Linked DNA regions of Xenopus tropicalis. The protein of the gene in region 1 interacts with the protein of each later gene in a pairwise test. Links are inferred from orthologs where the notes say so. Each region holds a gene or a part of one and is shown on either strand. Other genes may lie near its edges.

Region 1 (3,652 bases):
GGGTTGCCAAAAATTAGGCCCCTCTGAGTGATTGTATTCACTTACCGGATACCCTGGGCCGTTGCTCTTGTTAGCAGAAAACTGCACTGACCCGGGGTTACACCTGGGAGCAATCCTCTTCCTGCTTCTTTTGGCACCCCCAGCGAGTGTAACTTTCCTGCACCTTTAATAGTAAGGAAACTGTTGTGACATCACCTTTACCCTTGACTTATTTGTTTACTATGGCAAAGCAGATGCAATTCTGTATTGCTGCCTTTTGGCATTACAAGCTGTAATCTGCCATTTTTTTCTTTTTGTGAATCGGATGTGTGCCTACATTTGTGTAATACTAAATCATCGAACTCTGTAAAATATATGCATATGTACCTTGTAATTGCTCTGCCAGTGTAATTACGTCATTGCTCAGACATGCAACAGTGAACATTTTCAAGCAATAACACAATTAACCTGGCAGGGTCGGCAAAATTTACAAGTATTTGCTGAGATTTTGTTGCCTGCCTGAAATCACCAACCATTGCCTACTAAAATAATGGGATAAGGGGGCATAATTATCACTGAGTGAAACTGAAGCGTACAGCAGTCAGAGTGAAATTTTGATACAGAGAAAAAGGAAATCAATTTTTAAAATTATGAATCATTTGATTAAAATGGAGTCTATGGGAGAAGGGCTGTCCGTAATTCGGAGCTTTCTGGATAACGGGTTTCCGGATAAAGGATCCCATACCTGTACTATTAGATTCTAGCCACAAAATATTGTAGATAGAATAGCTACATCTGCAACATTTATTTGTGACTGGACTGACATGGAAATGCCATTCTTTCAGATGGTTAAGTGTTTAATGTGGTGTGAATTATGTGTCCCTCCCCTCAATCAATGTGGTACTTTGTATGGTTAGTTACGCCACTGTGCTCAAGCTGTCACCTAGCATACATAAGGGGTCATTTACCATACCCCAGTGGCGCAGCCCTTGGTGCTCACTTAAGAAGCACTCACGTCCAGGGAAAAGTAGGGCTTCGCCCTTCACGCTGGATTTGTCAGGTTGGCAGGGCAGGTTTGACGGGGCTTCAAAGCAGGCTTGCTCCTCCTGATGCTCCTTAACTTGTCCATCTGAATAACACACACGTTAGGGGGCTGGTGGAGAAACCCTACCTGCCTCCCCCCACACTTCTTGGATTGAGCGCTGCATAACACAGGCAGCACTTGATTGGAGGGCTATGTACACTGCAAGGTCCATTGTAAATGACCCCTATTGCATGGCATGCTGAAGGTGTTAGGGGTATGGGTACTAATGCGCTGATATACACTGCTACATCTTTACTCATAGTGACTGAGTTCAAAATAATTTATATGATTTATAGTAATTGTTGGATTATTTCTGATATAGTCTTCAGGAATGTCTGGCATCAGCAAACCGTATAATGTGAAACAGATTAAGGCAACTACAACCCAGGAGGCAGAAGAAGCTATACGATGGCTAATGGATAACAGCAAAGGTGAGAACAGTTATAAACTATGTTAAAAGGCACCTATTATAGTGAAATTGTTTCCCCCACTAGAGGTGCGGGCTAATAATACTGTGGGAAGCAGTACTTGGGAAACAATACTTGGGCCAGAAAATGCTCCTATTGAGTGCAATGCCCCCTGCACAGGGAGGAGCTCCTGGCTTGGGCAGCCATGTTGGGATTCTAAGCATGCGTATAATGACAACTGTCCCAGATTTCTCACTATGTACATTAATTATGTGTCATAGGATTAAGGGATGAATCCCCTGATCTTCCTTCACATGTGCATACTAAGCGAGCCAGTAAATTCACTCATTATGCACACGTCTCTGCAGAGGATATCCCAGCATCATTGTATCCTCTTCTGCCAGTCCTAATTTAGCCTTTACTATAAGTTGGTGGGGTGCGATCTCACTGGGCTGTGCCCTGGATTCAAATTGTGTAGGAGCCTGGGTGTGCAGCTGTGTTTCCCCAGGTAATAAAGGAGAACATAACGTTTTGCTTTTTGAACCTGAAACCAATTGCTGAAGTTATAGAGCAATGGGAAATATTTGCTGCTGAGAGCCAATAAATCACTATAATGTAATTTGTTTAAATCTTTTAAGCTTACATAGTAAGAAGGAAGGGAAAGAGAATATTTGCTTTAAAAAGGTGAAAATCTGTTGCTGTATTAAATACTGTATTTTGTGTTATTACTTTATGGAATTCATTTTATAATTGTATGCTCTTCATCCATTCATTAGTTATTCATTTTAAAACAAGAGTTTTTGTAAAACGCTACATGTTCATTTACATCAGGTTTTTCAATATGTTTCAGAAAAACAACAAGTGGGCCAAACTGGTGTACGTCCGCAAAACAGTAGCTTGAAAGAAAAACCAAAGTCTGTTTCTTTGAATTCAACACAGAAGAATGTCCCAGCCACAGAGCCAGCTCTGGTGCCACAAAGGCCGCCACCAATGGTTCCCAGTATGAAGCCTGTTCCCATACAAAAATCTGAAGCAAAGCCTGAACCTGTAAGCATGTTTAGTACAATAAAAGAAATGTTTTGTTTTTTTAGTGATGCATGGGATTATATGCCTACAAAGATGTAAGCTGTGTTTGTTGAAGAAATGTGACAATATGTTTATAACACAGAGTGAGGGTAATTTATTCTATACAATATACAGAGGACATGTTGGACAATAACTATTTGTAAAAGGGGCATCAAAGTAGTGTCAGTGATGGGTCTCTGACATCACTATTCAAGCGTATATATATCTGATGGGACTGCAAATAGTATGTGCAATAAACTGCAAGTTTGTGCATTATGTATAAACAGAAATTAACAAGCACAAACGTAATGAATATAAGCAGGGAGCAAAAATGAATTTCCATGGGTCTCTGCACTCTGTAAGGAGCACAGGGATCTGCGCCCCCCGAATACAGTTACGGAGCGAAAAGGGGAATGTACTCTCTGCCCAATAAGGATTTTTTTTACCTTCCTCTGGATCAGTGCTGTCCAGTTGTTGGCCCACGGGTCTACCTTGTGTGACCCCCACATTAAAGCTTGAATACGTTAAAAGGTATTTTATTTAATTGGCCCCTGCATTGTCCACACCACTGACTCAGACTGTAAGGTCGAAGTCCTATTAAGCATTGGCTCCACTTCTTTCTGCCTGCTTTTTATAGGCCTACAAAACGCAGATAGAATATTGTCATATTCCTCCAGCTGTTGCCGTAAAGTAGGAAGCTACTGTATGAATTTATTTTTTGTTAAAAAGGCAACCTTTTTTTTTTTTAATTCTCTAAAATGACTATACAGTCCCCCAAAATAGCAAACCTCTTTTCCTGCACTCATTCTCATGCAGATTCTGCATCACAAACAGCTCAGTTTTAGCACTCTTAACTACTTCCTAGCCACATGATGCTCCGCCCCCTTCTCTTTTCTAAACTCTTCTTCTCTCTCTGACTGTGGAGATGGTCAAAGAGGTGTCTAACGCACATGTAAGATTGATTTCCATTGGAGCAGAGACAGGCCTGCACTGGCAATCTGTGGATTCTTGAAAATGCCAGAGGGGCTGTTGTAATATGCCATAGACAGTCACTATATATTGGGCCTATGTGCGGCTGTTTGGGTCTCTCTGTACTTGAAATGCCAGGGCCTAAGAG
Region 2 (4,294 bases), about 93 Mb from region 1:
TTTTGGTCATACCGCCCAGCTCTACTATTTTGCCCCCCTAACTTCATGACACTAGCCCTTTTTTGGGGGGGTGGGATTTGTATATGTTCCAACCATGCACCTGATTATGCTCAGGGTCGGACTGGGCCACGGGGCATCTGGGAAAAAAAAAGGTGGACCCCCCAGCGGCCCAGACCAGATCCCTGTCGCCAATCCCCCAGCCGCCAGTGTCCCTCCCCTGACACGTTGAAAGTAAGTTTTGCACTCAGGGGAGGACATGGGGTGGGGGGTTAGGTGGGCACAGTGCAGGGTGTGTGGGACATGGCAAGGGCACCTTCAGGGGTGCAGGGCCCACTGGGGCTACTGCCTCAGTCTGACCCTGATTACGCACAGCGATGTGTAACTGATGTAATTATGGGTGGGTTTTAGGTCTTTTTTAACAGCGAAGGCAGGGGCGGGCCAAGCCGACCGGGCGCCCTAGGCAACCCGGTCGGCCAACTCCGCCCCCCCAACGACGCATGCGCGCCAAAGCACAGGAGGAGGTGCAGGGGGGGGCGGTGAGATTAGATCGGTCATTGCCTCCGCCGCTAATGACAAGCAGCGGAGGCAATGACAAAGTAGCACTAGGGGTAGGCAGAAGAGATGCCTGCCTGGCGCCCCCCAATCGTTGCGCCCTAGGCAGCTGCCTCTTCTGCCTACCCCTAGTTCCGGCCCTGAGCGAAGGTTAATATTAATTAAGTTGTGTATTATGGGAAGCATGGGGGGGGTGGATTCAAACAAAATAGGCAGAGTCCGAAAAAATGTGTGTTTGTGTACGTCTTTTTTCTACCTAACTTACTATGTAATAACAGTGGTCACCACAGTAACAGCCCAGTCTCACTCTAACCATAATTTGCACTGAAATTAGTGTTAACTCCAACTGAAAAAGGCCAAAAACCCATCCAAAATTACCTCAGATAAAGGCAGTTTTGGCCCAAACTGTGCGTGTAGTCAGGGCATATTGGAAGGTTAATTTTTATGAATTACAGGTGCAAACATTGCCTCAGGAGTAACTTCAGCAACATTTGCGTTCCTTAGACTAGTGAATGCCGCTTACTGATTGGTTGCTATGCGTTACTGCGAACGGAGCAAACTTGCAACCTGCTACTGCATTGCCCCTTGTTAGCTAATGAAACTCCACACCCCTGGCATACAAATTCTATTTATTTAGTGCACACTATGCCAATTTGCCCCGGGCTGCACATAAATACCCGAATAAGTAAAACCCACACTGTTCCAATGTTATGACTCCCTGTAAAAGCTAATCACGTCCACTGCTTTTTTTCGTTTTACACCGACCGAATGACTCCGCCACGGCGAGCTGCCAAGCACCAGCAAATCAACAGCAGCAATACACCTGCTGGCGCCCTCCCGCTCTCTCTGCCCAGCGGCGCACCTTGTCATTGGGCAACTCGGCCTGACGCAGGGCGTGTGACGGCTGCGCTTTCGGAACTGGTTTGTCCTGTGGGGCTTGCTGTAGGGAAATGGTGCTCAAGGCATAGAGAGGCTGGCAGCGCTTGGTCTCAGCAGGAAGAGACGCGCAGCACTGGAGGTCAGTACCCGGGGTGCTTCTGGCAGGTGTGTGGGGGAAGTGGGGTGCAGTGTGCGCAATGGGGGACCTGTCACAGCTGCGTTCGTCCATGTGCATGGCAGCGTTTGACAGCCCTCGGCGCCACAGCTGTTACATAAACTTCAACATCTACACATAGCAGCGCCGTGCAGGGCATACTGGGAGTTGTAGTTTAGAAACACGCAGAAGAAGGCTGCATATCCCTGGAGATAGCTGTGTGATTATAGGGTATCTGTGGCCGTGTGTCCGGCTGTCAGGCTTGTGTATGGCTGGCTAATGCCATAGTGAGTGTGACTGATGCGGGGGGGTGCCTGGGAGCTTCTGCAAGTGTAACATATCCATTTCTCTTCTCAAAGCAACAGGCCCAACACTATACTAACACCATTACTGTCTGCTATAGGGCTGGGCTGAAATGTGTTTGCCTTGGGCCCTCTGGTTCATAGGGGGCCCCTTAGGGGAAGACTGGAAATAGATGCAGTGTGTGGGTTGCTTTGGACACATGGCTGGATTTACTGCATTTGTTTGTATCCACATGTAAGTCCTTATTAAGGCCAAGTGGATTAAAGGAGAACTTAAGGCCAAGAAAAGATTTTAGCTGGAAATGCTCTGTTGAATATACTGAACTCACTGTACCTAGAGGTTTAACAATCCTATAATTGTAATGATCTAGGCCTTCAACGTTTTCTCCATCTTGGATTTTGTTAGGCCAGCTTTAAGTGTCAGTGGCATTGCACATGCTCAGTGTGCTCTGGGCTGCTGTTGAGAAGCTAAGCTTAGGGGTGAAACAGAAAATGAGGTTCCTCTGTCATAGAAGCTGATTCTTAAATTGAGGCAGAATGCATTGGTTTCTGATCTGCCGTGTAATTGGAGTCTGAATTAGCCTTGTATTGTGAAATTAATGTTTTATATATAGTATATTGTGAGTGGGTCCCTAAGCTCAGGTTATAGTGTGTCATTTATATTCTATATATACAGGATAGTGTGACATTTATAATCAATATATACAGGATAGTGTGACATTTATATTCTATATATACAGGATAGTGAGACATTTATATTCTATATATACAGGATAGTGGGACATTTATATTCTATATATACAGGATAGTGGGACATTTATATTCTATATATACAGGATAGTGGGACATTTATATTCTATATATACAGGATAGTGGGACATTTATATTCTATATATACAGGATAGTGTGACATTTATATTCTATATATACAGGATAGTGTGACATTTATATTCTATATATACAGGATAGTGTGCCATTTATATTCTATATATACAGGATAGTGGGACATTTATATTCTATATATACAGGATAGTGTGAGTGGGTCCCTAATCTCAGGCGATATTGTGGCATTTATATGCTATATACAGGATAGTGTGACATGTAAATGCTATATACAGTATAGTGACATGTATATTCTATATATACAGGATAGTGAGACATTTATATTCTATATATACAGTATATAGTGAGTGGGCCCCTAAGCTCAGGTAAGTGACAGCAGCACAGAGTATGGGCAGGGAATCAGCAGAAAAGAAGATTGGGGGCTATTATAGGTCAGGTGGATCTTGATTACACTGCCAGGGTCCTGGAACTGAATAAGATTAAGCTCCTCCCCCAATAAAAAAAAAAAGAATTGTCAGACCATATAGCCGGGCGCTTGGCTGGCCTTGAGGGCCAGATGAAAGAGCTTTCCAAACAATAATGTAACCTGCTGCTGTTGGAGAACACATTCCCCTGTGATTGCTCTGTAATGTTTTCCTTTTGCATAGTCACAGGGGAATTAGCTAGCGGGATCAGCTGGGGACTGGGCCATTATTCAATTACTGAGAATTTATGCTAAATCCTCGATGTCATGGCCTGTTATCATAGGTGGCTCCCAGGTTAGCACTGTCTGTAGAACTGGGGGTCCTGGGTTCACACTTTAAAAAGGGCCTGAAACGTGTTGTTACTATATAATAAAATGTGTTGTTTATCTTTTGAATTAGCTTTTAGTATGATATAGAGCGTGCTATTCTGAGACCATTTTCCATTGCTCTTCATTTTTTATTATTTGTGGGTTTGGAATTATTTAGCTTTTTGTTTAGAAACTCTCCAGTTTGGAATTTCAGCAGCTATCTGGTTGCTATACCAGATTATTATTACCCTAGCAACCAGGCAGTGGTTTCAATGAGAGACTAGAATATGAATAGAAGAGGGTTTAAATAGAAACATAAGTAATAAAAAATTACCGTAACAATAAAATTGTAGCCTCATATAGTAGTTTATGGGCTGCTAGGGACCCTATTTTAGGGTGAGGACACACGGAGCTACTAGTAGCAGCTACTTGTTGTGGCTACAGAAGCAGACAATTCTGATCATTTACAGATAACTGTCTGTGTGTTTTAGCAGAGGCAATTCTAAGTATTGTCTATGGCAGGGGATTTTCTGGCGTCAAGTAGTTGCTTCTAATAGAAGAAGATGGTCCAAATAATTCAAAACCTATAAAAATGAAAAGTTGCTAAGGATTGTCCATTCTATAACGTAATAAAAGTTAAACTTAAAGGTGAACCGCCCCTTTAATACTGGTCTATGATATATATTGGCTACACAGTTTTAAAAATCAGCTGGGTGGAATGATGGAATCTGGCAGCCGCTTTTTTCTAAACACTAAAAGCTTCTTTTTGTTGTCCTTTAGAATAAACAAAAT
Region 3 (4,113 bases), on another chromosome or scaffold:
TCTCTGTACGAACAAAAAAACAATTGTTTTTCTATTTTGTGTGCCTTTTTCTTGTGCGTCTTTTAGACAAAATGATACACAAGTTAAGCTTGGCCACCAAGTTGCCTAATAATATGCTGAACAAGTCGCCATGTCCACAGGAAAAAATAATTGTCTGATTGATAGTCTTAATGAGGAAAGAGAATATACACAATGCAGCCATAAGCAAATCGGTACTGGGTGTTAAGCTGCTGTTTACTGAAAATGAAGAAGATTTGTGATTGGGAGAGCAATAACTGAACTGGGGAACAGTGAGGACAGAGGGCACCATAGCTACAACATGGTAACACCCAAAAAGTATAAGGGAATGATGCTAAAGAAACTCTAGGACAGTGATCCCCAACCAATGGCTCATAGCAACATGTTGCTCACCAACCCCTTGGATGTTGCTCCCAGTGGCCTCAAAGCTGGTGCTCATTTCTGAATTTCTGGCTTGGGGCAAGTTTTGGTTGCATAAAAACCAAGTATAATGCCAAACAGAGCCTTCTGTAGGCTGCCAGTCCACATAGGGGCTATTAAATAGACAATTATTGCTCTTATTTGCACCACCAGGAACCTTTTTTCATGGTTGTGCTGCTCCCCAACACTTTTTCCATTTGAATGTGGCTCACTAGTATAAAAGGTTGGGGATCCCTGCTCTAGCATATAGATGTAGTAATTTAGCCAAGTTTGCCTAAAGAGATGGACAACCTCTGTGTAAGAACAATCAGCACTCCATTGACTGGCACATAAATAATATTTTTGACAGCAATACAGTTACACTGCACAAACACCATACAAAATTTACCTTAAGATTATCAAATGATCTGAAAAATCAGGAAACATACAAAATACCCAACTAGCAGAGCTGAACTGATTGGCAAGTTACTAAAGTGCTAGGAAATGCCATCAGTGCTGCCCCACAAGTTGGGTTTCCTATTACTGGTCCTGATTTTCAATTGTTCTAATAACCTTATTTATCCTAGCTCTCGGGGGCACCATCCCATGCCTGCCTGCCACTAGTGGTACCCTATGAAACACATAATGCGGCATTATGGATGCAGCCAAATACAATTCATGTGACCGAGGCATTTGTGGCACATGTACCCTGCATTTAAACTGACGAGAAGACATTTAAAAATACCCTCATATACTAGAAAGGAATATTGTCTAAATGAATGTCTTGTTTACATGTCGGGGCAGGGACCTCCTTCCTACTGTGTACTTAAATTGTAAGCTCTACGGGGCAGGGACCTCCTTCCTACTGTGTCTCATGGCACTTATATATATATATATATATTAATTGTATTTATTTATTATATCACTTGTCCTCCCTTGTATTCTGTGAGATTGTACAGCGCTGCGTACCCTTGTGGCGCTTTATAAATAAAGTTATACATACATGTCCACTTGATGCTGGAACTATACAATAACATTTTGAATGGACAAATTTACAGTCTATTAAATCAAAGCCCAGGACAAAGAGAGAAACCATAGTAAGTAGAAAATATAACAGCTTAAATAGCAAAGGAAAGATTTAAAGTACATTACCCAGTGAAGTTTCAATATATCTAACCATGGAGTGAGGAACATGAGCCGATCTGGTCTATAATATTGACCATAATCATACGTATGCATCTAACAGTGTTTTTCCTACCATTTTTCAAGGGAAATAGGCTCTAGCAACGGTGATTACTGGGAGAACACACACTGCCTCTGGCATAGGAGGACTCTTCTTCCCTTGCAGCAGGAAGCATCAATCTAGAACATGTTCCATGCTGCAGCTATAGCCTTAGGGCACTGAAATCCAAGAATGTAAAGCAGCCCATATGAACTGAGAGGGTTTTGCTCTATATTCTGTATACATATACTGGGGGGCACAGCGCATCAGCACATGAGGAAGTGAAGGGGAGATGAAACGGCGCTTTACTTCCTGGTGCTCCAATCGTAACAATGGGAGGGTGGCCGTATAACTGTATAGTCCCTCCTGACGTATCTTTCCATTCGCTCCTGGGTTGATTGCTGGATATTGATGAGTATCAGTTAGTAACCGGACATCTAATATATATATATATATATATTTTTATTATTTTTTTTACACTACAGGATTTAAGACTCATCACTGCGGACGAAGGCACCTTGGCCCAAACGTTATCCATTTTATATAATATTAGCACTATAATTTGCTGACACATTTACAATATATTACAAACATGGACCCTTATGCCAATTGTGCCCCCAGCACCCAGGGAACAGCTGGAGGGCAGCAGTAAAAATGAAACCCCAAATAAATATCTAGTAATCAGAGACCTGCAGAAAGATTTATCTAAGAAACCCAATGAAGAACGAAATGAGTCCAACCAGCTGTTATGAACTACAGTATCCGACATCCTCTGCGGGTCTTGTAGTCCCCAGCAGCTGGGCCGCTATGAGGCTGACATGCCACAGTTCCAGCCGAGGAAGGTGAAAATTCCACCGCAGAAGAACGCGTAGATCCCCAGAGCCCCAGGCCAGACGCGACACACTGCGATTCAGCGTCTAACCCCATTCATTCGAATTAAAAATAAGCGATAGAAGCCCGTCACTTACCCGTCTCCCACGACCACACATTTAATGGCCTGCATGGCTGCGCTGGCAGCGGATCTCCCTGCAGCCCGGGCGCAAAAGCGGATACAGATGAAGGCTGTACGTATGGCCCAAGCAAGCTAGGCCGCGAAAGGGCTTCAGTAGCTCAGAACACACCCTCTCTCTCTCACTCACGACTCCTTCTCCTTTGCTCTCCCTTCAGCGTCTATGAAGGAAAAACCTAGAGCAGCCAGCGCCCGACAAAATCAACTCTTCGGCGAGATAACAGGAAGCTTCCCCGCCTGCGTCACTTCCGGCCTCGCCTCGAAAGCCCGCGGGAGCGAGTGGGGCGCGCCCAGGAGTCGGGAGCGCGCATTGAGTGACGTCACTCCCTTAGCTCTTCTGTCGGGCAACTGGCTGGCGGCGGAGAGTTATGGGAGGTGGAAGGGTAGTTCCAGGGTTCTTTTAAGTATTAACATGAATATTAAAGATGTGTCAGTTTTACCTTTATTTTCTCTGTAACATATGTGGCAGACCAGCAAAAGCGCTCTCTTTCCCCTGCCTCAGGGGGAAGAAACAAAAATACCGGGGCCGCTGCTGGCCAAATGGGTGCCCTAAGCAGAAATTTACTTTTGTGCCCCCTCTCCCAAATATTACGGAAGTAAAAATAAAATAAAAAAAAACACCTACTATGGGGGCCCCACACACAGTGCCCCCAATTGCCCCCATAGACAATGCCCCCATAGTAAGTAAGTTATAATATAGAAAAATGTTTTTTTTTTTGGAGTAGCTGGGATGGTGCCCCCCTGGGAGTTGGTGCCCTATGCAGACTGAGTACTCTGCTTATAGGGAGCGGCGGCCCTGAAAAATACAAAAATAGACAATGCTTGATAATTGCCTCTGTGTTTTTGCAAATGCAGCTGTTAGTATTGTCTATGGCAGGGTATATTCTGGCGCTTAGTAGCCCTGACAATAGCTACTACTAAGTAGCTTCCTATGTTTTTATCCTAAGGGCCATGACACACGGAGATTAGTCGCCCTGCAACAAATCTGTGTTGTTGCGGGCGACTAATTTCCCCGCAATGCTATCCCACTGGCTAGAATGTAAATGTAAATCCGGTTGGATGGCATACGCGGCACCGTGATTTGCCGAAGTTGCCTTAAGAGAAAGCTTTGGCGACTTCGGCAAATCACGCCACCGGTGATGTACATTCTAGCCAGTGGAATGGCATTGCGGGGAGATTAGTTGCCCGTGACAATGGAGATTTATCATGGCCCTAAAGCTACATGTATTTTAGGTGGGTTTTAGGCCCTTCCAATAATGGGGGGGTCATAATTAGGTTAGACATGGGAAGGGGGGCACTCGCTGTGAGTGGTGGGGTCCCAAAAAGAGTGACTGACCCCCAAGAAACGTGACTTGCCTCCTTAGCCAGTTCTCTTATGCTATAGTTTCTAAAAACATTTATTTTAATGGAATAATTGTAAAACTTACAAACCCTCCTGAATTTATCTGTGTAAAGGTCCCCATAC

Evidence for each region.
Region 2: the proteins of synj2 (region 1) and itsn2 interact in a two-hybrid assay, tested with the Homo sapiens proteins (2 studies listed by BioGRID and IntAct). The link is inferred for Xenopus tropicalis from reciprocal best matches to the Homo sapiens genes SYNJ2 and ITSN2.
Region 3: the proteins of synj2 (region 1) and rac1 interact in a two-hybrid assay, tested with the Homo sapiens proteins (2 studies listed by BioGRID and IntAct). The link is inferred for Xenopus tropicalis from reciprocal best matches to the Homo sapiens genes SYNJ2 and RAC1.

What each region holds. Positions count from the first base shown.
Region 1 is NC_030681.2:52,444,298-52,447,949, reverse strand, and holds part of synj2 (synaptojanin-2), read left to right. Parts: intron 1-1,385; coding exon 1,386-1,494; intron 1,495-2,320; coding exon 2,321-2,517; intron 2,518-3,652. UniProt on the Homo sapiens protein: Inositol 5-phosphatase which may be involved in distinct membrane trafficking and signal transduction pathways. May mediate the inhibitory effect of Rac1 on endocytosis.
Region 2 is NC_030681.2:145,826,428-145,830,721, reverse strand, and holds the start of itsn2 (intersectin-2), read left to right. Parts: upstream 1-1,387; 5' UTR 1,388-1,570; intron 1,571-4,294.
Region 3 is NC_030685.2:25,457,240-25,461,352, reverse strand, and holds the start of rac1 (ras-related C3 botulinum toxin substrate 1), read right to left. Parts: upstream 2,811-4,113; 5' UTR 2,643-2,810; coding exon 2,608-2,642; intron 1-2,607. UniProt on the Homo sapiens protein: Plasma membrane-associated small GTPase which cycles between active GTP-bound and inactive GDP-bound states.